2 linked regions of the Diceros bicornis minor genome follow. The protein of the gene in region 1 interacts with the protein of each later gene in a pairwise test. Links are inferred from orthologs where the notes say so. Each region holds a gene or a part of one and is shown on either strand. Other genes may lie near its edges.

The links.
Region 2: the proteins of RPP30 (region 1) and RPP14 interact in binary tests that used the Homo sapiens proteins (3 or more experiments, as listed by UniProt). The link is inferred for Diceros bicornis minor from reciprocal best matches to the Homo sapiens genes RPP30 and RPP14.

The regions. Positions count from the first base shown.
Region 1 is NC_080745.1:56,934,682-56,950,476, forward strand, and holds the start of RPP30 (ribonuclease P protein subunit p30), read left to right. Parts: upstream 1-6,957; 5' UTR 6,958-6,974; coding exon 6,975-7,056; intron 7,057-8,534; coding exon 8,535-8,590; intron 8,591-9,241; coding exon 9,242-9,298; intron 9,299-9,710; coding exon 9,711-9,785; intron 9,786-11,536; coding exon 11,537-11,608; intron 11,609-15,795. UniProt on the Homo sapiens protein: Component of ribonuclease P, a ribonucleoprotein complex that generates mature tRNA molecules by cleaving their 5'-ends. Also a component of the MRP ribonuclease complex, which cleaves pre-rRNA sequences.
Region 2 is NC_080741.1:58,209,476-58,226,319, reverse strand, and holds RPP14 (ribonuclease P protein subunit p14), read right to left. Parts: upstream 8,438-16,844; 5' UTR 8,315-8,437; intron 7,419-8,314; 5' UTR 7,346-7,418; intron 5,033-7,345; 5' UTR 5,012-5,032; coding exon 4,935-5,011; intron 4,844-4,934; coding exon 4,759-4,843; intron 2,034-4,758; coding exon 1,957-2,033; intron 1,514-1,956; coding exon 1,435-1,513; intron 971-1,434; coding exon 914-970; 3' UTR 887-913; downstream 1-886. Other genes in the region: HTD2 (hydroxyacyl-thioester dehydratase type 2, mitochondrial), read right to left, coding at 288-794. UniProt on the Homo sapiens protein: Component of ribonuclease P, a ribonucleoprotein complex that generates mature tRNA molecules by cleaving their 5'-ends.

The sequences.
Region 1 (15,795 bases):
CCCTGCCCCACCTCCAGGTTGCATGATGGACATGGAGTCTTGCACCCAAAGCAGAACATTCCAGAAGGCTGCTCTGGTTCTCACTGTTGTCCAAGCCCACGTAATCCCGTGAAGCAGCACTGTGCCTCCTTTGTCCTTCAGGAGGATGGGAACATTGGTTAAGCCTGGACACCTAGGGTCTAAGGCCCAGCCTCTCTGGGTACCTGGAGCATCCATTCCTCCGACAGTTTTGCCCACTTCCCTGAAGATTCCTACTACATGAGGAAAAGCAAACCATGTCTTCCCTATAGTTAGGAAATTTGTTCCTTTCCTTTTCCCTCTGGCTTTCTGAAACCTCCTTCAAAAAAAAAAAAAATCGCCAATACTCTGTCCCTACTGTTACCTGGCATGAACACTTAAATGTTACTGGCCTGGAATTTTGCCCTCCAGGGTACATTTGGCAATGTCTGGAGACATGTTGTCACAGCTGAAGGGCTGCTACTAGCATCTGGCAGGTAGAGGCACAGGACAACCTCCCACAACAAAGGATTATCTGGCCCAAAATGTCAATAGTGCTAAGGTTGAGAAACTGTGTTATAGACTACATTTTAAATTGAAAATGCACAACTTGAGAAATAAAAATATTTAACTGATTTTTAATAATTCAATATTCCTTGGATTTAGACTAGAAATTTAATGCATTTCTTTTTTCTGAACCAAAATAAAGTGCTGAGTTGTTTTTGTGGGTTTTTATTATTATTATTTTGCACTGTTGTATGTAGTACAGAATTTAGCCTTGATTCCTCCAACTGAAAGCAATATTTAGTTTTATTCACTTTTTCATAACCAAAGACTATTATGCAGAAATATTAATACTTCTGAACATGGATAAATTCTTTGCACAATGGATTTTATATTCAAGGCAATAATTCTCAACTTATAAGATCCAAAACCCCTGGTTTTGGTTTTAGTTCAGGCTGCTGTGACACACTACCAAAGACTGAGTGGCTTAAACAACAGAAATTTATTTCTCACAGATCTGGAGGCTGGGAAGTCAAGATCAGGGTGCCAGGGTGGGTTCTGCTGAGGACCCTCTTCCTGGTCTGCAGACGTCCGTCTTCTTGCTGTGTGCTCACATGGCGGAGATCAGAGAGAGAGGAAGCAAGCTCTCTCATGTCTCTTCTTCTAAAGGCACTGATCCCATCATGAGGACACCGCTCTCATGACCTAATTGTCTCCCAAAGACCCCATCTCCAAATGCCATCACATTTGGGATTAGAGTTTCAACATATGAATTTTACGGGTACACAAACATTCAGTCCATAGCATCCCCTTTTAAATAAAATATTTTGTACTGATAGAGGAAAGAATAAGTAAATATGTATTTAAGTATGTGAATGCCAGGGCACCACTGTATCAAAAATGTAGTAGTTAGATGCCAGTATCTACTTCTAATAAATATGTTTAGATTTTAATATGTTTAAATTTACACTTAAGATAACTAACTGAATATTGTCAATACTTCTAATTTACATGTATTATTTTGAAGTAAGGGCTAAATACGTATACATATTTACTTATGTATATATGATTACATAGATTATATATAAAACGATGATATACATATATGTGTGTATATATATTTGTATGTATGGGTATGTGTGGTAATGTGTTTATATATGAATCACCATAAATGTGACTGCTATAAATGCAGTGATACAGGTGTGCTGCATTGAAAACCCAAATAACAAAAGCAGTGTTGCTGCAATGACATGATTTTTTGAAATGGGGAACAACTCTTATAGTTCTCGTGTAGTTCCAACAAACTCTTATAGTTCCAAGCAAAGCAAAGTACAGTCTTCCCTCTATTTACTCAATAGTTACATTCCTGGAAAATTCAATGCGTATAAAAATTGTGAAAAAATTGCTGTGCATTTATATATAAAACCTTTGTAGGTTCTAGGCTCAGATAATGATAAACAAGCTTTATCTCATGTGAATATCTGGCAGGATATTCAAAAGTCATGCAAGACGAGGGACAAGTGTTCATTGTCTAAGACTTTCTCATACACTGTGGGATAGTTAGCATCCCTGGCCTCTTCCTACTAAAAGCTAGAAGCTAAGAGCAACCACCTCACTTCTCAATTATTTTGACAACAATAAATTTAAAACAATAAACTATCGTGACAAGCAAAAAAATACCCACACAAATTTTCAAATGCCCCCCTGGGTTGGCTGGGAGGTGGAATAGAGGGTATCAACACTGTTGTGGAACACTGATTTAAAGAAGGGTTCAGCAAACATTTTCTGTAAAGTTATATACATATGTCCAGATAGTAAATATTTTAGGTTTTATGGGACGAGGTGCAAAATTGAGGCTATTATGTAAGTGCTTAAATAGCAAAGCTTCTTTTGTAATTTTCATTCACATTAATGATATTAATTGAAAAGGGCAAATTAAGCAGTATTATCATAAAGTTTATGATAAAGTTTAAATCAGAGTACCTTTTTTGGATTGTAGTCTTCAAGTCCACAATTTGGTGCTGCAATTTGAAGTTAGACCATAATTTTCATATCTGGAAACCAGTTTCTGTGCAGCGAATGAACTGGATTATTCCTAGCCAGATGAATTTTCCAAAGACACAATTTTTCTATATATGAACAAATTAGTTTGTATGCTTTTTTAAAGGCCAGGGGAGGGATTCAGAGTATTTAAATGGCTTATATCATCAACTGAAAGAACCAAAATTGTTAGTCTTCACTGATGAACTCAGGTGGAGATTTTTTTCCTTGCTAACATTAATAGGTAAATTTCTTTCAGCAGTTCAAAATTTTCTCAGCATCCAGTACAGCTATTTGGAGCATGAACCATGTGTGTGTGGGGGGGGGGGGGGGTGCAGGGTTAATTACCATGGCTGTTATTTGTATAGTTTTTAAGTTTAGAGCTCAAAGTGGTTTCTGGTCAATAGTACAATAAATTGGCTAAAATTCTGTGTCTTGACAAAATCTTGTCAGATTGTGCTTATGTTTCATAAGTCTGGTGTTAACACTAACCTCTGCAGGAGTCCCATCTGTAGTCATGGTTACTTATTCTACCAAGTCTACTTTAAAATTCTCAAAATTCTTCTCCATACACAAAAATAAGCCACTTCCTCAAGATGTGCCTTTTTGGGCACCATTTCCAAAAGATATTTAGTCATGTCAAAATTCTCAACAACACAAATAGCTTTTATATATCTACTTGCCTATCAGCTGCAATAGAAAATGCCAGAAATAACTTAGTTTTTTCATGTATTTTATTCTGCAAGTTCTAAGCTATATTTCCAACATACTGAGCATAGTTATTACGTTTGCAAACGCTAGCTTCTGTTTAGGACCTGTTCTTTCTTTTGCCTACAATAGACATTCTTTGTAAACTTGCCTTTGGTAAAAAGTTTTAGGTGCCTGAGCAATTTTTTTTTTTCCCTTAATATGAAACAATTTCAAGGCAGGATCATTGTGATGGTTAGTTTTATCTATCAGCTTGATTGGGCCATGGGGGCCCAGATATTTGGTCAAACGTTATTCTGGGTGTGTGTATGAAGTTTTTTCTGAGTGAGATTAGCATTTGAATCAGTAGACTGAGTAAAGCAGATTAACCTCCCTAACACGAGTGGGCTTCATCCAATCAGTTGAAGGCCTGAATAGAATAAAAGGGCTGACCCTTCTTCAAATAGGGGAGGATTCCTCCTTCCTTACTGCCTTCAAGCTGGGACAAGGCCTTTTTCCTGTCATTGCATTCAAACTGAAATATCTTCCTGTTCTTAAGCCTCCCTCCCTTCAGACTGGAACTACACCATCAGCTCTCCTGGGTCTCCAGCTTGCCAACTGCAGATCTTGGGACTTGTCAGCCTCCATAATCACATGAGCCAATTCCTTTCTAAAAATCTCTTTCTGTCTCTCTCTCTCTCCATATATATATACACATATTATTTATATATAGATATATACTCTATACTGTGTATATATATATATACTCTATACTCTATATATGTGCTTTATACTGTCTCTATATATACTATATATACTGTATACTAATATATATACTCTATATGCTGTATCTGTATATATACACTCTATGCTCTATACTCCATCTCTCTCTCTATATATACTCTATAGTCTCTCTATGTATACTCTCTATGTATATACCCTATATCTACATATATATACATATACTCTATTCCCTCTCTCTCTATATATATATAATATACATATATTCTCTCTCCCTCTCTCTCTCTCTACATATATATAAATATATATATTAAATCTGCAACTTTGACTGAGTACCATCCACTTTGTGCCAGTTCTGGATACACTCCAGACTTCTGCATCTTGTTACTCCTCAATTCCATGCATCAAAATTTAATTCAAGCATTACCTCTTCCAGGAAACCATCTTTTATCCTCTCCAAATCTCCCAAATTTCCCCCTCAATCTGGGAGAGAAGACTTTGCCAGATTCTCCTGACACCCCTGTGCAAATCATCCAACACTGCTTTCTTGCCTTGCCCCACCTCAGCCTTAAGCTGCCAGAGGACAGGGGCCTGGTGGAGTGTTTCTCGGTTCCCCTGGGAAGGGTAAACCAAATGAAAAGAGGATAAGGACAAAGACTAACCGAGCACAGACTGACTTTTAGGGGCCAGCCCAACAAACAGAGGTCTTTCGGGAGACTGAGAAGGGTTTGAAGGTTCTTTGGATCCCATAACCCACTCTCTCTTTCTAAGCATCCCAAGGAAGAGGAAATGACTCAGGAGCCCTCCCCTCTGAGCGCAGGACTCCTCCTTGATCTAACAGGAATAACAATCTCTCTCTCATTGACTGGTTGTGAGGATTAAGTCAGATAATGGATACAAAGTACTTAGAATCGTACAGTAATATTAATTTCCAGTCAGAAATTTCCAGAGTCTTCTTCAAACTCCAGGTCCTTGCTGCCTCAGCTACTCTTCCAGGCCTACTTCTGACCCTTCTTCCCTCTTCCTGTCCCCTATCACATCCTGTCTCTTCCCACTCCTCCCTCCCCTCTTCCACCTCCTTCCTCTCCTTCCTCTCCCTCCCTACTTCCTCTTTCCTCTTCCCACCAGCTCTCTATTCTCTTCTTCCTTTCCCTCATCTTCTCTCCCTCCTCCTTTCACATCCTCCAACCCTCCTCTCTGCTTGCTTTACCCAGGAGACAGTACACAAAGTGAGAACTAAACCAAACCGCCTGGATCCACGTGTAGTTCTACCAACATTACCTAAGCCTTAGATTTCTCAGATGTCAAACGCAGATGTTGCTAAAAGATAGTACTTAATTTTTCTTTGAAAATTAAATAAGATATGTAGGTAAGTACTTAGCAAATTGGCTGGCCCTCATTAAAGTGCTCAGTGACTGTTACCTATTCATTTTCCTTGTCACCCTTTCTCTTCCTCTTCACCTAGGCCCAGGGTGAAGATGAGCAAAGAACTCTAAAGGCTACAGTTCACAGCAACAGCATCATGACTTTCAGAGAAGGCTTCTTTAGTCTAATGCTGACATCGAATAATTACGTATCTCATTCACCTTCACCACACATCAGTCATATTTCTGACCAATCTAGATTTTGTGGTCATAGATGAAGATGCCTCTATGATCCTGCAAAATTAACTAGATTTTCTGATGATAAGCAATGGGATTGCTTTGTATGACCTTGTTCTATTTGCAGAACTCAAAATTTCTTCTATTCTTACACAGGAAATAACAAGTATTGGAAAAAGCAAAATATTTCTTCTTTATAAAAGTTAACCAAGAGGAGAATTGCATGCTACTACATGGAACAGATCCCTCTTAAAATTCCCTTCTAAGACCAAGAAAGAAATCATGTAAAGGGGTACTAATTAATGTGTGGCCCACAGACCAGAGACTATCTGTCTACTGTTTGTGATAAGTAAGCACAGAAATTGAAAATGTTTAGAAATTTTCACAGCACTTTGGCCTTGTCCAGATATCCAAGCCCCCAGTCAGTGGACTCTTCCTATTCAGCTCAATATAGAGCAGTCCAGAAGTTGTCAAATGAGTCTTCTGAGGCCAGAGGTGCCTACTGGTAGTGCACAAGGGACCACATACTGGTCTGTGAAGAATTGGGGGCGGAGGGAAACTGGACCTTCATCAAAGATAGTTGAGAAGCACCGACGTAAACTATAGTTCCACAATTTTATGTTGTCGGATAATTGATTTATCAATCTTTAAGAGTTCATTTATGCGAAGTCCAAAAATGTGGAAACATCAAACGCGTGGGATATACACCACCTTGTACATTTCTCAGATGGAAAACTGTAAAACATTTCAATTTTGCACTTCCTTTATCAAACCTGTCTTGGGCTAAACCAGTGATGGAGTTAACAGCTCATCCTAGAGAGAGCCCTGCCATCTTGTGGTTGAAGATGTTGACTGTGACAGAGAGCAGCGTGCTGCGACACCGTCAGTTCTGACTGGGCAAAAAGACCCTTTTCTCGGGCAGTCCTCTTTGGAGGTCTTCAGGTCGGTTTCCTCCTCTTCCCGATAAATCCATTTTAAACATCAGACTAGACTATAGGGGAACTAAGGAAAAACAGGTTCCCTATGACTTTTTAAAAGCGTTTCCATCCCCTAACAAAAGTGTCTGGTTCATGGTAGGCGCTCAATAAATCCTGTACACGTGCATTTCGAAAGACTCACTTTCTACATTATTTTATAGGAGGAATGCTGGGAGATTTAAACCCCTTCGGGGGAAACCAAACATTCTCATTCAGAAGAAGACAAAGAAGGATTAAAACGATGCCACTGATTTCAACACACTAATTTTGGTAGTACTTGAAGGCGAGGCAAACTCCTGCCAACCTCAAACTAAATAGTCCACTGGAGGGAGGCACCGACCACGCAGGTAAACTACAATTCCCAGAGTGCCTGAGGGGGCGGGCCCTGCGGCTGCGCAGACGGGCGCGGGCGTCATGTGACTTCAGCATGGCGGTGTTTGCCGACTTGGATCTGCGTGCCGGTTCGGACCTGAAGGCGCTGCGCGGGCTCGTGGAGAACGCCGCTCATCGTGAGTCGCCCATCCTCGCTGCCCACTAGACAGTCGGGCCGGGCTCGGGAAGGACCCGGCAAGGCCGGGACTCTTTCAGGTCTCCTGGGGTCTCTGGGATGTCCCTGGAAGCTGATGCCCGCCGCGGTGTTGCTTTTCCTGGGCGCGGGAAACTCGAAGGCACTGAGGAGCTGTTACCCACTCCAGCTCCTTCTTTCCTATAAATTGAGGAAACTGAGGCCCTGAGAGGGTGGAGGATTTGCATAGGGCCCCACAGCTGATGGGCGGCAGAAGCCAGGGATTCTGAGTGTACAGTCTCCTACACCAGTGCTTTTAATATCACCCCTTCCTGCCTCTCATGACAGTGTCAGCACAGACGAGGAGTGCTGTGGGGGCTCAGAGAAGAGGAGGAGGGATATGGGGGTGCGAGTGTTGGAATAATATTATTTAGAGGGTGGGTAGGTGAGGGCGGGGGACATAGCAGGCGGGTGGGAGGGGAGCAGCATGGCCAAAATGCTAGGATATTACTCATGTTTGAATCCAAGGGAAGCGAAAGCCGTGAGGGGTAAGACCCCGTTTTAATTATTGGAGTTAATCGTGACTGCTTTCTTCTTTCTCATATTGTGAAGTGTGGGGATAGAGAGGTTTAAAAATAAAGAGGTTTCTGCAGGGCCAGTCAAGTAGTGGGGGCCCAATAAATACTTGAGGGAGGAAGGAAGTTGGACAAACTGATGAGAGGGAGGATCACTATTTTGGCATTAATATTCATTATCTTTTAATATTAATATCGTGTCGTCCCCATTGGTGTTTAATAACTTAAAGATAGGAGTCAAGATTTAGACATGTTTTTGGTAGTACAAATGTCCAGAACAGTGCTGTGTTGCTGATAAAACAAGACTCTGGCCTCAAAGAGTTCCCAATCTATTGATGGTGGGCAGCTCAAAAGGGGCAGTGGGCAGTGGTGTGAGGAGTCATTACTCCATTTTTCCTTAGGAAAGGGGCCTCTGAAGGAAGTAGAAAGGGTAAAAAGCAAAAGAAATGAGCGAGAATAAAGGTGACAGTGAAAAGGTATAAACGTGATGGGATGAAAATGAAAAGAGAGATGTGAAAGAGAATGATGGTTGAAAGGAGAAGCGCAAAGTTAAGGGTTTTTAGTATCATGCTAATAGTACATCACAGAGGTCACATAAAGCCCTGACTACGTGCCAGGCACTGTTGTAAAACATCGTACCTGTGTTATTTCATTTAATTCTTGTGACAGACATATGGGGTAAGTTCTGTTATTATCACCATTTGACAGATGAAGAACCTGCAACTTAAGGTTAAGTAACATGTAAGGGGTGATGCTAGATTTGAAAGCAGGCAGTCTGACACCAGAGCCCAGACCCATAACCATTCTGCTGACTACGTTCTAGTCTTGACATGAATTGGGATGACCCTATGTGTACAGGAAAGATAGGTGGTTATATTTAACAAGAATGTTCAATTTTTCTTTTCAGTGGGCTATTCAGTTGTTGCCATCAATCATGTTGTTGAATTTAAGGAAAAGAAACAGGTAAAATACAATTTCTGAAGTTAATAACCAGAATTTATAATTATTTGTGTTTATATTGGTAATAAGGAAGTTACAGATGAGCATATTTCTTAAATGTACTCTGTGCACTGTCTTATTTTGTATGTTAACATTTGAGCTGATGCATATTTGTGCTAGTGATAAAGTTTTTTGTGAAGTACTAAGGTGTGGGGTAAGGATTTTTAAAGTTGATTTGATGTTACTTAAGTAACTTTCAATAACTTATAAAAAGTGCATTGTTATTGACTGAACTGTAATCACAATATTTAGTCCTTTTTATTTTACTGTTATGGACTCATTACTCGTTGATTTCCCCCTGAAACATACTGATAAATATGTATATTTCTCTTTTGGCCAACAACTGTACCTTATAGATTATTTCAGTCTAAACACTAGTTTTCATCTCTCCTGTCCATTGATATGCTCAGCTACTTCTCTGCTCTTCAGCTTTCTTCCTTTAAAAAATAAACAGAAAAAACAAAAAAACTTTAGTGTTTCTGAATACCAGAAGTTAGCTTTCTCATTTTTTTTTTTAATTATCTTTCCTGAAAACCTCTTGTAAGTTTTCCATTTCCATAGGCTCCGTCCCATTAACATGTACAATCTGGGGTGACTTTTGATTCTTTGTTGTAGGAAATTGAAAAACCAATAGCTGTTTCTGAACTCTTTACAACTTTGCCAATTGTACAGGTAGGTGTTTTGTTGTTTAAGAAGCATAATATCTATTCATTCATTCAAACATGCCCATTTATATGTACAGTTCTCTAACCTGCACTGCCCCTTCCTCTGTCGACCAGTCTTACCTTTCCATCAAGACTCAGCTCTTCTCTGAAACATTCTCTTACTATCGATTCAGTACTTTGATGATCCTCTTTTCCTGAAGTCCTACAACCTTTAAATTATTTCATTATGTAGTTTAATGTATGTACATCTTTTTTTTTCCTCTCGTTGTATCATAAACTCGTTGAGAATGAAGACTAGGTTTTACTAATCTTCACAATCCCTTATTGCTGGGACGTTTTAATGAGTACTTTCCACTGATAAAGAGGAAAATCAATAGTTTGTATTTTGTGCTTTTTCGATAGCATGTTTTTGATTATAGGGAAAATCAAGACCAATTAAAATTTTAACTCGACTGACGATTATCGTTTCGGATCCATCTCACTGCAATGTTTTGGTAAGTTAATTATTTTTCTTCTCTCTTTTTGGCCTTATAAGTTGTATTGACTAATGTTGAACGGTGTTGTTTTTCAACTCACCCTCTTCTTACATTGCCCCACTGCCTCCCATGTGTGACACCTGCCTGCTCTCCCTATCCTCAGAATTCATATAGTATAACAAAGTCTCTTCTCCTCGTGGCACATGTGTAGGGATACCACAGTTAAAGATTCCTTTGGCCACTGTTATTGAACTCACATGAACCAGATATAAGGTGGGTGCTGGAGATATTGCTGTGAAGAATACAGACACAAATCTTGAACTTATAAAGTTTATAGTCTAATTGGCAAGACAAACACTATACAAATAGTAATTAAAAACACGAGGAAGATTTAAAAAGTGGGAGATAGTAAATAAAGGATGCTCTGGGAGCATGTAACAGGGCAGCCAACGTGAGGAGGTTGATGTTCAAACTGGGGCCAGAAGAATCAGTAAGTGTTATATACGTGGAGAGAGTGTTCCCACAGACAGGATGGATTATGCAAGGGTCTTGAGGCCAAAGAAACATAGTGTGTTCTGGGAAATGAAACACCACCAGTAGAGCTGAGCCTAGTGAGCTGGCTAACCTGGGATGAGGTTAGAGAGGTAGGTCTGGGTGAGCAGTGGAAAGCCCCTGAAAGTTTTAACCAAGGGAATAAAATTATCAGGTTTGCATTATAGAGAATGGGTCAGAAGGGGTTAAGGAGGGGCTTTGAGGCATCTAGGGGGAGGATTGACAGGATTTGAGGGTGGGTTGGATGTAGAATGATGACTCCCTGGCGTAGCCTGAGCAACCTGGAAGGTAGATAAGGGAACCATTTCCCGAGGGGAAAGCAAAGAGAAGCAGGTTTGAGGGCATCGTTTTTGGGACACAATAGATTATTATGAGAGTTCCAGGGGAGTTTGTTAAATGGGCATTTGGGGGATAAAAGGTGTAGCGCTCAGAAAAGTGATCCCAGTTAAAGATACTGATTTGGAAGGGGTCGCCCTGTAGAAAGTAATTGAAATCATGGGAACAGATGAGACTCCCTGATTAAAGTGTGATGTGGGAAGAGAAGGTCTGGGACAGAGTCCTGAGGAACTTCAGCATTTAATGGTGGAGTACAGGAGGAAGAGCTAGGGACTGAGGAGGGACTCTGAGAAGGAGAAGGACAGCGTGGAAAGTGAGAAAGGAAAAGTGAGGAAGGGTCAGCAGCATCAATGTGCCTGAGTAGAGAAGCAGGAGAAGGGCTAAAAAATGTCTTGGATTTATTGATGGGGAAGTCATTGGTTGCCTCAGCAAAAACCATTTCCATGGAAATGGTAGGGATGTGAGAAAATGGATACAGTGTGATGGTGACTTTGCTTGAGAAATTTGACTCCATAGGGGAATGGAAGGCATAGAGAGGTTGGTGGATGAGACCTGCTGTCTAGATTTTGTTCTCGAGATGGGAGAGACTTGAGTGTGCCTGCTGGTGGGAAGCATCTAGTTGGGGAGAGAGAATACAATGTTTAGTACACAAAGTGTAACAGTGTAGGAAGGAAGGGGGATGATTAGTGGAATGGATGTTGGTATCTGAATTCTCATGGGCTTCAAAGGTCTTTTCTGCCAACATACAAAACAAAGCAGAAATGTCCTCGGCATATGAGAAGTGTTACATGATTGAAATTTAAGTACAGCCGGGCCACTAGTCAGAATTCCATGTGTATACTTGTTGTTACTCCATGATAACATTCTTTTTGTGTTCCCAGAGAGCAACTTCTTCAAGGGTCCGGCTGTATGATATCGTTGCAGTTTTTCCAAAGACAGAGAAACTTTTTCACGTAAGTAACAGATAGTAAAAGAAAATAGTATTTATTATTTTATGTAAGAAGTCTGATGTTATGCCTTTGTAGGTGACTTGTTTTGCCCCATCTGGAAACTTTCAGGATTTTTCATTTATACTTGGAGCTCTGGAATTCCACAAGGGTATTTAGGTGGCATGTGTTTGTTTTGTTTTGTTTTATTCATACTGCTAGATATTTGATGAGCTCAGATTGAAAAAGTCCATCAAGTTTTTCTTCTATTTCTTTATGTCTGCTTCATTCGTTCATTCATTTGAAACTTCTCTTAGGTAAATGTTGTTCCATCTCTTTGTAGCTCTAAAATCACTTCAGTTTCTGCCCTTCTTACTGTTTGCTGCTGCCTATGAGGGAAGAAAGGTACAAGGTTCTGCTGTGACATAAAAGGTCCCATCTCTCTTTCAGCTTTCTCCTTTGCATGCTCTGAGGTCTGGTCCACATGCCAGCATGATGATGTCAACCTTCAGTCTTCCAGAAATTCCTCAAAATCAACCTTCTGCTGATACTGTTTCCCATTGTGTTCTGAGAGCCTTTTCAAATTTAATTCCTTTTATACTTTTAAAATTGCCATTTCTGTGACTTTTCAGGAGAGAAAGTTGTTTAACATGTATGCTCATTTTGTCAACTTGAGAAGACCACCTGGGCATTTTAAATGATTACAGAAAAAAAAAATCAACTGTAATAGTTTTTCAGGAGTATGTTTTACTGTGTAAAATGAAGTATAGCTACTTTAGGAAGTTCTGAATGTTGGCTTTATCTAGGTTCAAAAAATAGCCATCTGCCAAAAGAATATCTGCAAAAGGGATATTGTAGGAAAAAAAAATGTACTGGTCTTTGATGTTTTAATTTTACACCATAGTTCTTTTTTAAGCAAAACCTGTTCTAAAATTATAGAAAGATTTTCTCTAAGTTTATCCAGTAGATGGAGCTGTTGACTAAGGAGGCTGATGTGTCGTAAATTTAGTTTTCAAGGCATGCTATCAATTCTTAATTGTTTATATTAATGCAAGGAAACAGCACAAATTATCCATGAATGCCCTTTTTTTTGGTGACTCCCTTTATAAAATGTTCAATTATAGTAATTCCCAAAAATTTCATTTCAGGAAAAGAGGTGAGTAGGATAGAGTGGTTCTTACTCATCAGAGACCCCTGTGGAACTGTTTAAAATCAGGCAGGTTCATATCTCCACTACTGGAGATTCTGATCCAGTAGCTTTGGGGTTGAGTCTGGGTATCTGTTTTCTCAAGTTCCACAGAGGATTTTGATTCATTGTGGAAACCTTGAGGTGGACCATGGACATTTTCAAATTTGTTAAACAGCAACCTAGTTTTGTTGTTAAATAATAACTCAAATAATAACTCAGTTATAATGTAGACTAAAAGTTGGCAATGTGCCCAATTTTTTGTTGTACATTTATTTTTTGAATTGATTTTGAAGAGCACGCAACTTACATTTCCATAGCCATTTACTGGTAATTAGAGAAACAAAACATTTAACAAGTCACACAGCTGAGAGGCATACATTTATATATTCTTCCAAAGGCTTTTACGTATTTATTACTTCTAACACAACAATCCTGGGGGTAGTCAGGACAAATATTTATTACTATCCCCGTTTTGTAGAAGAGAAAATTGAGACTTAGGTTAAATGATTTGCTGCAAGTCTCGGATTGTATGTAGTAGAGTTAGGACTTTTGGGTTTTAGAATACATTATAATTTCATCTAGTGATTTTGTCTTATTTACTTTTAGTACTTGTTTTTCTCAGATTATTTGAAAGTTTGAATTCAAAAGCATGAACACATGCTTGATGATGGGGTGGAAATATTTTGGAAGATGGAAGAAAGCTATAAATAATTCACAAAGTATTTGTTTGCAATTGACTGTACAGGTATACTCAAAAAGTTACATAAAAACAGTTTTTAAAATTGGAACATCATCTTATCTGTCCCAATCTTACCCATTCTTTAAGACTCAGCTGAAGTTATCACTCTCTTTCTGTTGTCTATAGAAAATCAATTTAAAAAGACGTCTTTCTTTTAATCATAAAGCTTTTGTAAGTATATCATGTTTGGAATTGGATCAAATGCAAGCAGTTCGTTGCTTAACAGGTTTCATTCTATAAATGATTTTATTTGTTTAGTTTGTAAGTGGATTATCTAGAATTTAAACAAGTGTCCCTGTAGATATGATACTCTAAAGCTAAGTTAGGTCTCTAAGATGAGTCATAAAAGCATACACACACATATGTTAACAATTAGTAGTATAAAATCTAACCACCTTAAATAGCATTGTTTCCATGGAAAATAACATAACTATTTTCCACTCAGAGTATCTGGAAGATGTCTCATAAATAAACCCTTCTTCTCCATAGTTACTCCAGGGGATAAGGCAAAGATGAAAGATTGTAAGGGGAATCCATTGGTCAGGCGTTCTTGGTTTGGGGGGCGGCAGTGGAATGTGGCAGAGAGTTACTTAGAAGCTTCAGGAGCTTCTGAGTTAGTTATTCCCATTTAGGGTTTAAAGCGACTAGAAAGGGTGAGGAGAATTCAGGTTATTTAGTCCAGTGGTCTCCAAACTACTTTGATTGTGTATCCTATCAATTTAAAAAAATATTCAGCCTGCATCCCCGGTATGTGTATGTTTATTTTCTTATAAATTATTTGCATGTTCCGTTATACCACTATGCTTTATGAAATAATATACACACACAAAACAAACGAATTTTAAGAGTGAATTAAAAAATAAATGGAAATGGAAGTTCTGTTTTCTTCCAGCTTCTAAAATCCATGCCTTACCCTCTGAAGAGCAGTATTGTGGAGTATGCAGTGAACACCTGAGGCTCTTAAGGAGAGGGAAGATCTTTCAAGACAGTGCTTCTCACGGTGTAGTCTGGCTCCACTGGCTTCAGAATTGCTGGGGATTTTTGTTAAAATGCAGGTTATTAGGCCCTACTTACTAAACTTATTACTGGGAGTCAGGCCTGGTAATCTCCATTTTAAAGAAATTCTTCAAGGGAATTTGTTTTTTTCACACTTTAGGTTGAGAGGCCCTGTTTATGGGCAATCTCTCTTTTCCCTGGGTGAGCCTGACTCTCCCTTGCATACTATTTTATCATAAAATGCCAAGATGTATTAACCTGACATCCATTAAGGGAATTTGGGGGAGAATGAACCCCTACCCATCTGTTCTCCTTGTTCCATAAGATCAAAGATAATTGTGTGTGTATGTGCAGTTTTGGGAATACACCTTACTTAAATCCTCATAGGAGTCTTTGGACGAAAAAAAAGATAAGAACAATTGCTATGAATTCATATACAACCTGCCAAAACCACTATGATAAGATTCTTAACCGCAAATATTATTTGGACAGAAGTTAATCTTTTTTAATGATTTAGAAAGTATTTCTTTATAATGTGAACATTATCTCTTATTTTATAGTTATCTAAATATGTCAATTGAACATTTGGATTAATAGAAAGCTAGATAACGAAAGAGTTCGGTTTGAGACATTGTAAGTTTGAGGTGTCAGAGGGAGCCAAGTAGAGCTGTCCTTTGTAACTGAAAGTTTGTTATAATGTACTTGTACTTAAACCAACACAAGGGATATTTTTAAATTAGTTACTATTATATAGGAGAGGGAAATAAGCAATACATAAGTAAGAAAATAACCTAATTTAGCTTTACTCTGGGGAAGAATGCTTAACGGCCTTTTAAAAAATGAATCAGCTTTTTTTAATGAAAAATTTATGTTCATGGTAATAAATCCAAACAGTACCAAGGGGTCTGCGTTGAAAAGTAGGTCTTCCTCCCACCTAACGCTCCCTCTCCCTTTTCTCCAAAGGCAGCCGCTGCTAGCAGTTATCGTGTATCTTTTCAGAAACAGTATTTACCTAGTCCTTCTTTCCTTCATTCTCCTCTTCCTTCCTTTTTCCTTCCTTCCTACCTAACACCATGCTTTTTTCAGCTGACAGTTTATCCTGGAGGTGGTTCCATAATACCAGTTAGAGATGTACCTTGTTCCCTTTAAGGATTCATCATTTTCTGTTGTATAAAGGAACCATAATTTATTTGAGTAAAACTGAGGGATGTTTAATTGTGTCTAGTCTTTTGTTATTGGTGTGGCATTGACTATCCTCGCACTAGTATTTTTGAGCATTTGTAGGGTATA
Region 2 (16,844 bases), on another chromosome or scaffold:
GGTTTCAAATCCTAAAAGCAGAACCTTTAGCTAAATGAAAAATTTCCCAATACTTTTGTCATTTTTAAAAACCTAGACAAATGATGAATATACTCACATCCGTGTGAAGCATAAGGCCAAATTGGAAAGTAGACATCTGAACACCCCTCTACCTGTTCCCCTCCCCCTGTATGGGGTTCTGGATCTCTCAGCCACACCTTGGTGAAAAGCAGCAATCCCTGTTTTCCTCAGAGACTCTTCAATAACAATAATATTAATGCCTGAATTTGCATCTTTAAACACATATTTCAGGATTTGGGAGCTTCTGGGACCATAACTTTAACCCAGCCTTCCATAACAGTCTTTTGACTGTCTATTACAAAACATGACACCGCAATAATAGCAATGAACCGCTTCAGCTTTTTCACTTCTGCAGAAGCTGAAACAACTTCTCCAACATATAAAGGGGCTGGAAATTTAATTTCCTGGGAAAGAAATACACAACCTGGCCCTGGCATTTTAGTACCCAGTAGAGCTGAAATAAGTCCATTGATCAAAACTCCATGTACAATTGTCTTTCCAAACTTGGTGTGTTTTGCAAAATCTTCATTTAAATGCAAAGGATTGACATCTCCCGTTAATTCTGAGAAGGTAGCCACGTCCCTCTGTGTGAAAGCCCTGCTGAGTTCAGCCCGGTCTCCAACTCTGATGTGCATATGCTGAAAGTGCTGCCTGCTTAACACTGCTTGGTTTAGGCGGATTCTCCTCTGAAGCCCACCCCACCAAAGGCAATGGCTGGAAATTACTGGGAACATCTTGCAGCACCCCCAAATTCCACCAACAGGAGCTTTTAGCCTGCTTCAGTCTTCAAACATTGTGCTAGTACCAAAAAGTTCTTTTGAGAGCAGAGGAATGTTGCTGAAAAGAAGACTACTCAGTCCAATACTAGTTCCCTACTATTACCAGATAATGCAAGGAGAAATGGAGAAACCTATAAGAGAAAGAAAAAAGTTAATGCAATATCAGGAGAAAACTGCACTGAAACACAGAACAATGTAGAAACATGCCCAGTTTTACAGAATAAGCCAAGCTGACGGAGTAGCATTTTAAAGAGCATCCTGAGCATCTAAGCATCCTTAGATCGACAAGTGGTCGTAAGCTCAGAAAGAGCATTCCAATATATAAGACACTAGGCATTAAGCTATAAATGAAATGTTAAGACTTTTCCACAAGAGTTCCAAGTTTTATCCCAAAATATCTCCCATATAATCTAAAATCTAAGTACTTTGTCTCATACTTTTGGAAGCAATGAAGTCCTGGATTGCCACCACCACCGCCGGGTGGATGATGGGAACCATACTAAAATTATGCAAGCACAAAAATGGGACATATATTAAAAAGCAGTTTGATCCACTACTCAGCCTCATTTGGAATATGTGAAGGAATAGTCTTTACCTGAATCACTCTGAAAGCACATTTCTTGCCTTTATAGGATCCTAACAGAGTCAAAGAGCTCCATAATTTGACAAGACCACTGTGGAAAGATCAAGAAAGCATAAAGATTTGTCCCTGCAACACTTCTCTTGTACTTTTGTTTGTGATGCTCCAGAAAGTAGTTTCTACCAGAAAACCTAATTTAAATGAGAAAACTTTAAAAGTAAAAGCATAGTATGTCAAAGGCAGAGAAAAAAATGAAGCTCAACTAGGAATGTTTCTAAAATATACATTTCTGAGTTTGCAACCCATGACCATCAACTGGGAAACACTACAGTTGTAAGCAAATCACAAGTTTTGCTCTCTAGAGTGTAAGCTCCTGATGGGTGAATGTTCATATTCTCCCCAGTTTAAACTTCCAAAAGCTGCTCAGAGCTCACAACGACAAAACTCTTCTCACTCTCAGAAGAGAGCATTTCTGCTCTATTTCTCCATCCGTCTCTCCGCTCTGTTATACTGGAAATGTACCACTGTCTGTCGTACCTGCTACATATTCTCAAGATGGCTGATGAGGTCCTCTCTTCGTAGGTCAGGATGTCCAAGGGTAAGGCAGCATCAACCTAAGCATGGAATAATGCTGTTAGCAGACTATTATCATCATTACCCTTGAACTCTAATAACCAATCCTGTCAACTGCTTTTCTCCTCCAAAAAAGCAGTATTTTATTTAATGGTGCTGCAGTACTGAGCCTGCTTATTTACAACTTCCCCTGCCTGGAATGTTCTTCCTGGACTTCCTCATGTTGCTAATGCCTCTTCATCCTCAAGGCTTCGTTTAAATTGTTCCTTCTCTGATCCCCGACATTAAGCTCAATCGCTTACTATGCTCTTTCACGCACAGGACCCACATACTTCCTCTTTCATAATACTCATCATTCTTGCCATTAATTGTTCGACACGGTTTCCTATTAAAATAACCAAGACCATCAGTCCATGAGGCAGAGGCTATGTCTGTTTGTTTACAGCTATATCCCCAAGAACCAGGTTTTATACCTGACACATAGAAGGTGCACAGATTTTTCTTTCTTAAACTTTTTATTTCAAAAAATTAGAGTCAGAGGAGATTGTAAAGAAATGTACAGGAAGGTTCCATACACTGTTCACTCAGCCTCCTCTAATGTCAACATCTTGTATACCTATAGTACAGTATCAAAGCCAGGAAACTGAAATTGATAACCCAGAGTTTATTCAGATTTTACCAGTTACACATGCACTCATATTTGTTTGTTTGTGTGTATATGCATAGTTCTATGCAATTTTACCACGTAGGTAGTTTCATGTAACCACCACCACAGTCAAGATAAAGAACTATACAACCACCACAAGGCTCTCTCCTTCCACTCCTTTATAGCCAAACCCACTCCTCATTCCCATCCCTAACCCCAGGCAACCACTAATCTTTCTCCAGATTATATAATTATGTTATTTCAAGAGCATTATATAAACGGAATCACCCAGTATGTTACCTTTTGGGACTGGCTTTTCACTCAGCATAACTCTCTGGAAATTCAGTTAAGCTGTTATGTGTATTGGCAAGAAATTTTCACATACTCAGGTATATAGGGTAGCTATTCTGGTTTAAAACTGATTTGGCTTGCACTACAGAAGCCTGACTTATGGCCTACCAAACACACACTGTACATCTGCTTTAACCATTAAAGAATGCATTAAACATGATCTCAAAGTAAAAGAATGCACTCTTTGAAGATAAGAATGCATACTTTCCCTCCTACAATGCCAGTATCAGTAACACCCACATCAGTACTCCTGAAGTTCCCTTTCCCTGACATCAGGGTCATGTTGACCTGCTAATTTGCAACTGAATACCTCTTTCAAACTTTGATGAATACATATCCTGGGCATGTTTAATGTATGTTCTTTGTTTTAAAAAGGTATAAAACTACTGAAAACCATGTTTCTCTGGAATGCTTTCTTCCTTTGTGGAGACTGCCTTCCTGGGTTATAATGCTCAGCTTGGCTCAAGTAAAGCCTTATCTCTTTTACAGATTGGCTACTGATTATTTGCATTGACAGTATCAGTAGTTTGTTCCTTTTTATTATTGAGCCTATTCCACGGTAAGAATGTACTGTACTTTAACTATTCACCCACTGAAGGACATCTGGCTTATTTCTGCTTTTGGGTTCTTCTTAATATAGCTGTTATGAACATGTGTGTACAAGTTTTTGCGTGAACATAAGTTTTCATTTCTCTGGGATAAATGCCTAGGTGTGCAATTGCTGGTTGTATGGTAGGTGCATGTTTAGTTTTTTTAAGAAACTGCCAAACCATGTTCCGAAGTGGTTGTACCATTTTACATTCCCACCAGCAATCTATGAGTGATCCAGTTTTTCCGCATCCTTGACAGCATTTAGTGTTACCACTATTTTTCATTCAGTCATTCTGTTAGGTAGGTGGTGATATCTCATTGTGTTTTTAATGTGCATTTCCCTAATGGCTAACAATGTTGAACATCTTTTCATTCATGTGCTTCTTTGCCAATTGTACATCCATTTTAGTGAAATGTCTATTTATGTCTTTTACCCCTTTTCTAATTGGATTGTTTGGTTTTTTACTACTGAGTTTTGAGAGTTCTTTATATATTCTAGATATTAGTCCTTTATCAGATATGTGGTTTGCAAATATTTTCCCCCAGTCTATAATCTGTCTTTTCATCCTCTTAACCAAGTCTTTTGCCAAGTTTTAACTAAGTCAAAGTTAAAGTTTTTAATTTTGATGAGGTGCTTAGCAGATTTTGATTTGATAGAATATACGAATTAGGAAATAACTTCCTGAGAATCATGTCTTTGTTCTCTCTCAAAACTCTACTTGTTTTCAAGTGAATGCTAAAACAGGACTACTCAAAGTGATGGTCTATGGGAAGACAAAGAACTGCTTTATAATGTACATCAAAAATATCACTAAGCACACTGTTTAGTTCAGCTCAGTTTTTTTCATATGGAGACCTTCTCCGTAAAGAAAGCGGTGTGCTGATTTACATTCTGGTGAGAGCCACCAATGTTTGCAATGGGTAAAAAAACAGTCTGCAGGTTGCCAGTCTGGACCATACTTTGAGCAGCACTGCACTAAAACAAACATTTGTCTAACAAGTTCCTTGTCAAATAGAAGGCATATTAGAACAAACCTACCAAAAAGTCATCATTTCTGAGTCTGCTTCTGCAATTTCAAACATGGTTTTAAAGTTTTAAAATGATGTTTGGAAAAGTGTTCTTTCAGTATTTCTTACAAAGATCTTAGGAGTGTCTGATGTATCAAGTGATTCCATACCTCCCCAAACAGGTCCTTCAGGGCTGAAACAAGCAGTTGTTTGAACTGTGCAGCATTCAGTCCAACCCCACAATCTTGAAATTCTCTGTAAAAAACATTAAAAAGAAAAAATACGTTGCATTAAATTTCATGCTATTCAGATTCATCAAAAATAGAACGTAGGAGACTGAACTTACAGGCAGACTTTCATGTAGTGGTGCTCGGAGGGATTTTTGTAAACTATTCTTTCATATGTGGTAGCTGGAGCTGGCATCTTTCCCAGTGCTGATCACACCTACATTAAGAATCAAGAGAGCTAAAAAGAAGTGGTATATATACACAATGGAATACTACGCAGCCATGAGAAAGAAGACAAAATCTTGCCATTTGCAACAATATGGATGGACCTTGAGGATATTATGTTAAGTGAAATAAGCCAGACAGAGAAAGACAAACACCGTATGATTTCATTCATATGTGGAAGGTAAACAAACACATGGATAAAGAGAACAGATTAGTGGTTACCAGAGGGGAACAGGGTGCAGGGAGGGCGAGAGGGGTAAAGGGGCACCTATCTGTGGTGACGGATAAAAATTAGACTACTGCTGGTGAGCGCGATGCAGTCTAGACAGAAACTGATACATAATAATGTACACCTGAAATTACACAATGTTATGAACCAATATGATCTCAATAAAATAATTTTAAAAAAAGAATCAAGAGGGCTGGAAACTACCAAGGTACAAGCTATTTTTCACTTTTTTAATGAGAATTTGACCTATTTGATTTTTTAAAGAACTCCTAGTACAGTAACTCATCTAATTCTGGTCAAACTAAGGTTACCTGTACACACACAAAGGAAGTTTCTACATTTTATATATGCCAGACCACTGTACTCTTATTTAAATTCTAATAATATAATACCAGCAAGCATTTGTCCTGAGTACCCAGTTCTGTGCTGAACCATGTCACATGCCTTAGGTCATACGTCTTCAAAGTCATCCTATGAGGTAAAAGCTATTATTATGTCCATTTCTGATAAGAAGACATTGAGGCTTGGCAAAGATAGGTAACATCTGCCCAAGGGCATACTGATTCCAACCACTCCTGAGCCCTATCAAAACCACTCTGGTATGATGCCTCTTAATCAAATAAAAGTAAAAGCATAAAGGAGTAAAATGTGGGATCTGAAGACCCTCTTCTTGTTTACTTTCAGTCAACATACAACACGAACACAAGAATGAAAGGTGGTAGTTCTGCTGTCCCCTCCCATGCTGGATCTGCCTGTGCTCAGGCTGGAGGCGAGGCCTGCGCAGGGCTATTTGGCAGCCCTGTGAAAGACTGAGCTTAAACAGCAAGGGGTTGGAGAAGAGGAATGCCTGGAATGGGCACTCAATGCCATTTCTAACAGATCTGGAACTTTCAAGAACTCAGAACATACATACTGATCCCCCGGTAGAGAATCCCTGTCCTTGGCTCCACTCCCACCTCACTCTCCCTCTGGAGGCTCCTACTTATCCTTCAGATTTTAGCTTAAAGTTCACCTCTTCCAGGACTTTCCCTTTTCAGGGAGACCTTCTTTGACACCTTGTTCTAAGTTAGGTTCCCTTGTTAGGCAATCTCTTAACATTGTCCATTGTTTAAAGCACCAGAAAACTGAGGCCTAACCAAAGAAAGGGATTTTTCCAAGGTCATATAACTACAGACCAGCATTTACAAAAACATCTCTGGGTCAGGCCCAGTTCCAACCACTCCCAGATAACAAGCTCCAGAGAAAATGAAAAATCAGGGTCAAGGAGCTACATCCAACCATCCATTCAACAAACGTGAATATTTACTGTTTGGCACAGAGTAGGTATTCAACAAACACTGAATATATGACCGACTGAATGGTGGTAGTGTTAGCCCTCTACGCTCAAGAGCATCTTCGGTTTCAGGACTGCAGCAATAGTTACTGGGTGCTTCTTTCCCAATCACTAGTCTCCCGACCAGAATGGCAGCGAGAACAAGGACCCTCAATCATTTCATTCATTGCCTGGCACATGACAGGTGTTTTGTTTTTGTTTTTATTTTTTGGTGAGGAAGATCAGCCCTGAGCTAACATCCATGCTAATCCTCCTCTTTTTGCTGAGGAAGACTGGCTCTGAGCTAACATCTAGTGCCAATCCTCCTCCTTTTTTCTTTTCCCCCAAAGCCCCAGTAGATAGTTGTATGTCATAGTTGCACATCCTTCTAGTTGCTCTATGTGGGACGCGGCCTCAGCATGGCCAGAGAAGCGGTGCGCCAGTGCGCGCCAGGGATCCGAACCTGGGCCGCCAGGAGCAGAGCGCATTACTCAACCGCTAAGCCACGGGGCCGGCCCATGACAGGTGTTTTTAAAGTGTTACTGAATGCCTCGATGGAGTTGGCTACCCAAGGTAGGGGAATAAGACTGTTCCTGGGCTTAGGATGCCAATAACAATGAAGACTTAAGGAATGTCCTGGAAATGGATAGTAGTGATGGTCACACAGCAATGTGAATGTACTTAATGCCAACCAAATGTACACTTTAAAATGGTAAATTTTATGTTATGTATATAAAAAAAAGACTTAAGGGGCAAGTGTTTACCAAGCAGTCACCTCTCCACAGGCCTGAGCATCAGGGTCAAGGTCAGCGACAGCACTGCCCTCTGCAGGGTGTCCTGAGATTAAAGGAGATGATGCCTGAGAAACCCTCCGTACAGCCTGGCATATTCACCAGGCTCACCACAGAAATGTGAGCACCTCTATGGTGTCATCATCATCTTTGAAGGCAGCCTTTTTAATGGATGCAGGGATGCTCATTAACTGATCTGTTAGTAAGAGGTGTCCCTGCCTCACCTTCCCTCCCCAATCTAGTCTCTACAGCCTATTACAACTTATTCAAGCCACGCCATGCCTCTGCTCAAAACCTTGCAATGGTTCCCATTTCGCTCAGAGAAAAGCCCAAGTCCTGACAGCCGCCTGCAAGGCCCTCCCTGAGCTGTACCACCGCTTCCTCCGACGCTCTGACCTCAGGTCCTACCATTCTTCCCTGCTCAACCCCTTCCACCACACGGGCCTCCCAGCTCCTCCTCACGTTTCCCTCCCGCCCCTGGGCCTCGCTCCTAGCGTTTCCGCGGGCTGGGAAGCCTGTTCCTCCAGGTAGCCACACGGCTCACTCCCTCGCCTCCTTCACAGCTTTGCTCAAATCTCACCCCTCGATTTGGTCCAGTGGCTATTCTGTCTAACACGGCACCCACCTCCACCCCCCCCATGCCCCTGCTCTACTTTATTCTCACAGCACTTACCACTTTCTACCATAACTATGTAATTCACTTTTTCTTTCTTTGTACCCCCTCCCCTCCCCAACAGAATGTACCATCCACAAGAAATAGGGATCTGTCTCGTTCACTGCTGTTTCCCAAGAATCTAAAATAGTGCATCGCACACAGGAAGCATTCAATATGTAACTTTTGGACAAAGTCAATAACTTTTTTCTAAAAGCTCAATCGCCTACTGTTGGGTACTTAGTGTTCAACTTTTTTCGACTACTGTCCGCCCCTTATTTAGCGCCCACCTGGCGGCCGGCGCATGCGCTCTGTACACGTGGTCGCTCTCAGTCCTCGCAGCCACCCTCTGCTACCGAGACCGCGTCGTACGGCAGCCCGGGGAAGTTCCCGGCCGGGCCTCGCCTTCCGCCCGCGCCTCGCCTTCCGCCCGCGGCGTCCTCGGCCGGAGCGGAGAGGTACCTCCGGCCGCTCAGCGCGGCCCGCCGTCGCTCCCGCCTTGCGCATGCGCGCCTGGCGCGGGTGGCCATGCGTCTCCAGCGCGGCCAACTGAGCCCACCCCCGGGAAACAGCCGCTCTGCTGTGGGCTTCCGCCTACCCGCTCTCCGTCCGACCGGCCTGACGCCTCCCTGACGCCTGTTTGCTGCAAGAGTCAGCCAGGGCTTGGAGCTCTCACGTAGAGGCCGGTGCCTGGGCCGGAGAAACTCCGGGGTTGTTTACGTTTGGCTCGTGTCTGCCCGCCGCCCACCCCCGGATGTGTGACGTCTAGGCACGGATGTGACGTCACCGCGCAGAGTTCTAAGGACCCAGGCGTCACTCCGGATCAGGAGCTGGGAGCGCCAGGCTCAGTGCCCTCTGGTGCCCACTCCGGAGACAGCCGTGTGTAGGGATGTATGCATGGGGTCAAGGGCTCCGCGCATGTGTATTTGGCCCGGGTTCGCTTCATAGTCATGCATTTACCCATGCATTTATTCATTTAACAACTTTGTATCTAACATCTCTTCTGCTGAGCGTCTCGTAGGTCAAGCACTCCCCAAGGACAGTGGTCCTGTCTCCACACGTAAGCCCAGTTTCATCTGTGCATTTATTCAGTAAGTACTTGGTGAACGCCTATTATAAATGCTAGGTACTGGGAACTCAGTGGAGAACAAGATACGGTCCCTGCGCTCGTGAAACATAGTGTTTATATTTAATAACAATAATAATAGCAGCTAATATTTATCAAGTACTTTGTGCCAGGCGCTATGAAAACAACTTTACATATGTTATCTCTTGGAACTCGGGCACGATCCTAAGGTAGCTATTATTATGATCATCTGTTTTACAGAGGTGGAAACTGAGGCGCAAGAGGCTAAGTTACTCACCTAAGATCACAGTTGTTAAGTGGTGGAGCAGGCCGTCTGACTAGATGGTGCTCTCCACACTGCGCCACACTACCACCAATTGTGTGCTATGAGTCGGGGCGGGGGGTGGGTATGGGAGAAGGGCTGGGGCTGCCAAAACTCGACTGTAAACCCCCTTGTCTTGGAGTGTAAGCCGGGTGAGGACTGGGCCTTGTCTGTTGGCTCACCGCTGTATTCCAGTGCCTGGCACTCGACACACTTTTACTGAATGCAGTAGTTCATAAATGGGTGTGCTGATTCTGCCTGGGCTGGGGGCAAAGGGTTACCCTGCACAGCCAAGCCTGAGCCTGAGTCAGCTGGGACCTTCTCTCTCATTTCTTATCTCAAAATCCCACTATCTGCTATTTACTGAAGCTTCAATCCTTGGCTGTAGCCATGTTCTGTAGTCCTGAGGCTTCTGCTTCCCTTCCTTCTCCCCTCAGAGGAGACAGGGCTTGTTCCAGATGGGGGGAGAGGTAGAGGAAGTCAACATAGACCCACGGACAGTGACATTTCTCGAAAGAGTTTGGGTTTCAGAAGCTGCCACAACTCGCTTCAAATCCATTCTTTGCCACTTATTCCGCTTCCTCATCCGTCCGTCACACGGAGTGATCAGTCGCATCTGTCTCAGAGTTGTGAGGAAAAAATAGTTGGTGTGAAATATCTGGGACCCAGATAATGCTCTGTAATAGGGGAGAGTCCCCTAAACCAGCCACCTGGCAAACCCATCCTGCTGGGCTGCAGCCCCGAAAGACCAGAGCAGCTCGTGTATTTTGGACTTGAAAGAGCTTGAGTTAGTTTTCGCTGTCCTGCACCGGATCCTGAAATGGAAGGGGCTTCCAAGCTGCTTGAATTCTCTCTGCTGTCTTGTTAATTCAGAGTTTAGGGCAAGAGAGATACCTTTGGATGGTAAAGACAATAGTTGGTTGACTTTTGTTTTCCAATTAAATTTTATTTACTTTTTGAGTAGATACTGCAGGCATGTGGCATACACTTCAAATGGTCTAAAGGGATAAGCAATGAAAAGTAAGCTTCCCTCCCACCCCTTACCCAGACAGCCTCTCTCTCCCCAGGGGCAACCACTGGCATGAGTTTAAGTCATATTTAAACTTAGTTTCCCAGAGATACGGTAGGGGGGCCTTCCCCTTTTAACAGTGTGTCTTAACATCACTCCAAATCAGCACACAAGGCTGCCTCAGTCTCTGTATAAATTGCCCAGCGTTGCAGTGGGTGGAGTCAGTTGGCTCATTCAGGGCCATTCAGGACACTCTCTGTGTCTGTCTCTGACATTTCAGAGCAGAGTTGTTGGGGCAGAACTTCGAGTATTTAATGTTCCTGCAAGCTATGGCAGCCAAGAAAGAGTTGAGTCCACACTTCCTCCGCCTCTGCTGTGTTCAGCTCCCCTCCCTGGCCTACCTTGCAAACTGGTACCAAATGGATTTTGCTAAAGTTGAGGAGCTTTCACAACTTTGAGAAGAAAAGGCAAGAGAGAGGCCCAAGTAAGATCATAGTCCCTTAGCATCCACAGCCACAACTCTCCATCAATCACATGGGAATTGTATCCGCTTGTGTCAGCAGATTGTGAAGATAGGACAAAGAAGGTGAAAATGATCAGAAGTGAAAAGCTACGAAACTGCAGCTGTTTCCATTCAGGGAGACCTGCCAAGTGCCGGATAGCTTGCTTGCATTATCCCATCTACTCTGCAATGTCACTATTATTATTGCCTTTCACAGATGAAGAAAACATATTCAGAGAAGTTAAGTCATCTGTCTAAGGTGGTGAGAGGCCCCAGAACCTAAAATGCAGTATTCCATCCCTGCTATGTGATGACAGGGCTGGGAGCTGCTCCTTTGAGGCAACCCTGAGCATTATCTCCAAACAGGAAGCTTTGAAAAGCAGGCCTGCTGTCTAGTCCCTAGAGCCAAGCCTGACACAGGGAGCCTCATGGAAGTGATTTATTGGGGGATGGCTCTCATGTGAAACATGTAAGGGAGGAGGGAAGCAGGATGGGGCAGGGGAAGAAGCTAAGCAAAGATGTGGGTTCAGCTGAAGTCTAGCCTCAGCCTGATCCCATAGGAAGTCCTGGAGCATAAATGATATCAGAAAGTTTCCAGCCTTGGAGGTAAGGGGCCAAGTCTTACTACTCCCCCTCAGTCCGTCCTTGACTGCCAGCTGCAGGGTTGCCAGATTGAGCAAATAAAAATACAGGTTGCCCAGTTAAATTTGAATTTCAGATAAACCATGAATAGGATATCCTTATACTAAAAAAGTATTCACTGTTTATCTGAAATTAAATTTAGCTGGGCGTCCTGTGTTTTATCTGGCAACCCTAGGAGGTGAGAGGAAGAGAATAGAGCATAACCTCCCAGGCAGGTGCTGTCATCTGAGGGCAGTTCTCTGGGGGAAGGGGCAGCTGTGAGCCCTCAGCAGCCAGCTCACAGCAGGTGAGGGTTGGGTGCAACAGTCAGTAGAGGGGACCTGGGAGGGATGGCAGCAGCATCCTCTACAGCAGGGACTGCCAGGGCAGCTCACCAGTCACTGGTAAAAAACAGAAGCTCCTGCCCAGACTGCCAAGTCCAAACCATCCCCATCAGCAGGTGAGCAGCAGGACGCCCTGCCCCAGCCCCCAGCCCCCTCCCTGGCTGTCCTCTGAGGGTGTTTTTGCTCTTTTAGAGAAATTCTCCTGCTTGTGTTGGGGCTGGAGCCGAAGCCAAGCTGTTTAACTTTGTCTCATCTAGCATTTCTGAGATATATTTAAATGATGGAGGAGACTTTCCTGAGAAACCTCTCCCCAAGAAAAGGGCTCCAGAACCCAAGAAAGGGAGAATTTGGGGAGGGGATAGCCACTCTGTAATTAAGCAGCCAGTTTCTGGAGGACCCTAAGATCCTTTCTTAAAATTCAGACATCCTCTTCCAGGGATTCAGAGGGGTCCTTACAAAGATGTCACCCCCCACAGCACACACACTTTCTCTGGAGGACTCTGCATCCCCATTACAGGAATCTGTGGGTTCTGACCTACAAAAGCTCCAAGATATAGAGGTAAGTGAAAAGAGCAAGTGGAGGTGGGGGGGTGGGCAACAGTAATGTCCAGCATGGCTCTGTTTATGTAAAAAAGAAAACCCACAAACTGACTGCAGTGTCCTCTCTGTTTATACGTATGTATGTATGTATGTATGTATGTATGTATGTATAAGCCCCCATACACATACATAGAAGGGTTCCAAGTGCACTGATGGGGGAAGGGTGGGATTGTGCAGAACGTGTAGGAGATGCTTACATTTTTTTAGTATACGTTTTGTTTGATTTAGTTTAAAGTGACAGGGCATCATTTTTATAATACTAATAATTGTTAAATAAAAATCAGGACTTGCCCCTTATGGTCACAAGAGGGAGCTGTGGACCGCACCGTCTGCCTGCCTCTCCTACCTTGGAAGAATAGGCTCCTCCTCAAGATGCTGCTTCCCACTCCCACCCCCCACCCCCAAGGCAGGAGAGATGGAACTAGAAATGCCGGCTGGCCATCCTTTATCTGCAAGCCTGAAATCCAAGAAAAATCTGCAAACGAAATCTTTCCTCATCTGGCACCAATACTTAATCTGAACTGAGGTGAAGCTTTTTATAGCTTTTGTCCCATTTACTGTGGATATTCATACATTGCACAGCAGAAATATGAATGCATTTGATCATGTAAGGCAGCCCCAGACCCCATTAGAGGTGTTACATAATGTATGGTTTACACACCACGATACCTTTCTAAAATTGGAAAATTTCTGAATTCGGAATCACATCTAACTCTGTGCACTTTGACATGGGAGTGTAGACCTATACTCACGTCAACAGTTGCACTTCAGTGACGCTTACCCACCCCTAGCCAGCTTTGACCTTGGGTAATTGGGATTGTAGTGCCACTTTCTGCCCCTAAGAATCCTTCCAACTCCTCCCATCCCCTGCTGGAGCTTAGCATCTTCCTAGGTGTGCCCTAAGGTTCCTGGTCATTGCCTTGAGGGTTTAGATACCAAAGATCCAGAAACCAATGAAGGAAAGGTTCTTCCCGGAGCCGAGGGGGAGAGGCTGTCCTCTTGCTGAAAGGAGCCATCAGGTGTCCTCTCCCTTTCCCCGACTAGGCTAATGATGGTCACACAACCCCCTCATTCTGTCACAGGCACAGGCAGCCCAGGCCCACATCCTGGTGATTTCCAGCCCAGCAAGCAGCAACACTGGGCCCCAGAGCCCCAGGGCAGCAGGGGTACCTGGACAGCAGCCCAGCACTGTATCCCTCTGGCTCTGACCTTGGTGGGTAATTGGAGGACATCTCCACTGCCCCATCTGTGACCACTCCCACTCCCTCCACAAAACCTTCTATTTTTTTGCTTCCTTTCAGGGAATGGAGGGGTTGTATGTGCGTCATCCAATTTTGGGGTGGATGGGAGGGGGAGGGAGAAGAGGCTGATGAGAAAGCCCAGTCTGTATGTTAAAGGAGTGATGTTGGAAGAGTTAAAAGATGAAGGATCAGAAGAGCCAGGCTGCCCACTGTTAGGGGAGAGTGTGTCTGTGTGTGCCTGTATGTGTGGGTGGCAAGAGACAGACAGATTGGATGTGAGACAGATAAAGTGATGAAATGGAGATGGGGCGAGGGAGGGGAGGAGGGGAGAGAGAGACTAAGAGTGTTAAAAAAAAATTGCTCCCAAACCTGGGCAAAGACTATTCCAGCAAACATTTCTGAAACAGACGTAATAAACTGCCACTTTTTTGTGTGTGTGTGAGGAAGATCAGCCCTGAGCTAATATCCATGCTAATCCTCCTCTTTTTGCTGAGGAAGACCGGCTCTGAGCTAACATCTGTTGCCAATCCTCCTCCTTTTTTTTACCCCCAAAGCCCCAGTAGATAGTTGTATGTCATAGCTGCACATCCTTCTAGTTGCTGTATGTGAGATGCGGCCTCAGCATGGCTGGAGAGGTGGTGCGTCGGTGCGCACCCGGGATCCGAACCCAGGCCGCCAGTAGCAGAGCGCACGCACTTAACCGCTACGCCACGGGGCCGGCCCTGAACTGCCACTTTTAATAAAAGACTTCTTGGTCTAGTACAGGCAGTCCCCCAAAGCAGAAGGCTGGTACCTGTGGATGTTAAAAGCTGCATACATCATTTTAGAACAATGCTAATTAACCAACCCATGATTGTCCTGAGATCGATATCCAGGGCTTGGAAAGTAGATAAGAGGACCTAAATTCAGCATTTATATTTAATTAAAACCTACAATTTGTCTGAAGACAGTGGAAAAGCCCCTGGCTGGTAAGAAGTCCAAAGCGTTGACCTTCCCTTCAAAGGGTGCCTGAGCTGATCCCAAGCAGAGCCTCGCCTGCTTTTGGAGTGGCAGCTAGGAGCAGGGCCACATCTCTTGATGCTTCCCACGCCTGACGCTGAGGGGCAACAAGAAAGACAGAGGAGACTTCTCCTCTCCAGAAAACTGCTTTGGACAAAAACACTGATGATCATTTCCAGAGTATGGGGGAGGGAGGAGGCTATCAGCAAGGTGAATGAGCCCTCCAGGGAAGGCTTGACATCAGTCCTGGGTATTAAAGACACTGGAAGGATGAGGGCAGGCTGTTCCTTGAGGCAGCCTTAGCAGGATGATGGTGGAACCCAGGTGAGCTTGTTTCCTGCCTAGCAGGAGGCTGGGCAATGGGATGTCCTTAACTATTTGCTGAGTGAATGACTGGGTCACTTTCCAAGCAGAGGCCCGAGGTGTGGTCTCAGTGATCTGTGGCTGAAGCTGTCACACACTGGCCTGGTCCAGGTGGCCATCAGGGCCCCAGGCTCCACTGGAAGTCGGGCCAGAGAACTCCTGCCTGAACCGTGAGAGCATTCTCTTTGCAAGTCACCTTCAATCATAAACCAAGAGGCTTCTCTCTACTTGTTATCTGTCTGACCTTGGGCAAGATACTTCACCTCTCCATGTCTCAGTTTCCTTGGCTGTAAAATTGGCACAGGTCATAGGTACTTCTTGGGGCTGTGTGAGAGCTTGATACGGTGATACATGAAAAACATTTAGAATATGCCTGGCACATCGTCACAGGATTCAGTCCTCCAGCCTGGCCTGACATTATAATCTCAGCACTTTCTAGGAACTTCCTTTGGATAAAACAACAAGTAAGGTTCCCTGGGATGGGGAATACTCATCCCCATGGGGCTCAAATGGGAGACAGACTTACACACACGGACAGCACCGTCAAGCTATGTTTCTTGCATCAGTCACTCCTGATGTCGCCTCTGCCCTGGACAAGAAGCCCAGACTGACGGCAAATTGAGTCCTAACCACTGCCTGTCCCTCAGCCTCTTCAACCTGCCAGGAGGGTCCACCGTGAGCAGCCCTGAAGGCCCGACTCCAGGCAGTGAGATCAAGAGCCCACTTGTGATTCCTGGGGCTTTCCATTGTTATTTCAGAAGCTTCTGGCAGTCTTTCAGGCAGGGCTGTGATGAATGACCCCTTTCTTCTTTCCAAGACTGTCATTAAAGGCACACACCACAGGGCCTAGCTGGGTGTGGCTTGGGGGGCAGGCAGCTGGCAGGAACTAGCAAGCTCTTCATAATCACAAAGGCAGGAAGCGGGGTGCCAAAGGGAGCCGTGCTTTACTGCTTTCGAGTCTTCCTAGCACGGTGAGACGAGAACTGCAGGCCCAAGGGAGAACCATGAAAACCCACTTGATAGGTCTGTCAAAAATGACTCAGGGCCGGCCCCGTGGCTTAGCAGTTAACTGCGCACACTCCGCTACTGGCGGTCCGGGTTCAGATCCCAGGCGCGCACCGACGCACTGCTTCTCCGGCCATGCTGAGGCTGTGTGCCACATACACAACTAGAAGGATGTGCAGCTATGACATACAACTATCTGCTGGGGCTCTGGGGGAATAAAAAAAAAAAAAAATGACTCTTTCGTATGATCTGTCCGTGACTCCCAGTCGATGTTTTTGGGTGACAGCAGAGGAGTGGGAGCTGATTCCTCTGCAGACCCTGCCACTGTCCTTCCAGCACACGCCCCTGCCTGGGTGACCCCACTGTGGGTGCCCTGCAGCGGCTCCTCTGGATGTGATCCTGAGCTGCTGGTCAACCCAGGGCATAACATTTCCTGCACCTAGTAGGGTTTCTGATCTGAGGTACTTATCCCAGGCCTGGGACTTCTTCAGTGACTCTGGAAACCATCTCTCATCACCCAAACCCACCAAGACTGACGCCCTCTCCCAGAACCTCACTAAGCTCGGAATTCTTGGTGAATATGGGAGATTAGAACAAGCAGCATGTCTAATATCTACTTTCTTTTCTATTTCATTGATTTTTGCTCTCATCTGTATTATTTCCTTCTATTTTTTCTAGGTTTGATTTATTATTTCTTTCCAACTTCTTTTTTTTTTTTTAAGCAGTTTTTTTTGTGTGTGTGTGAGGA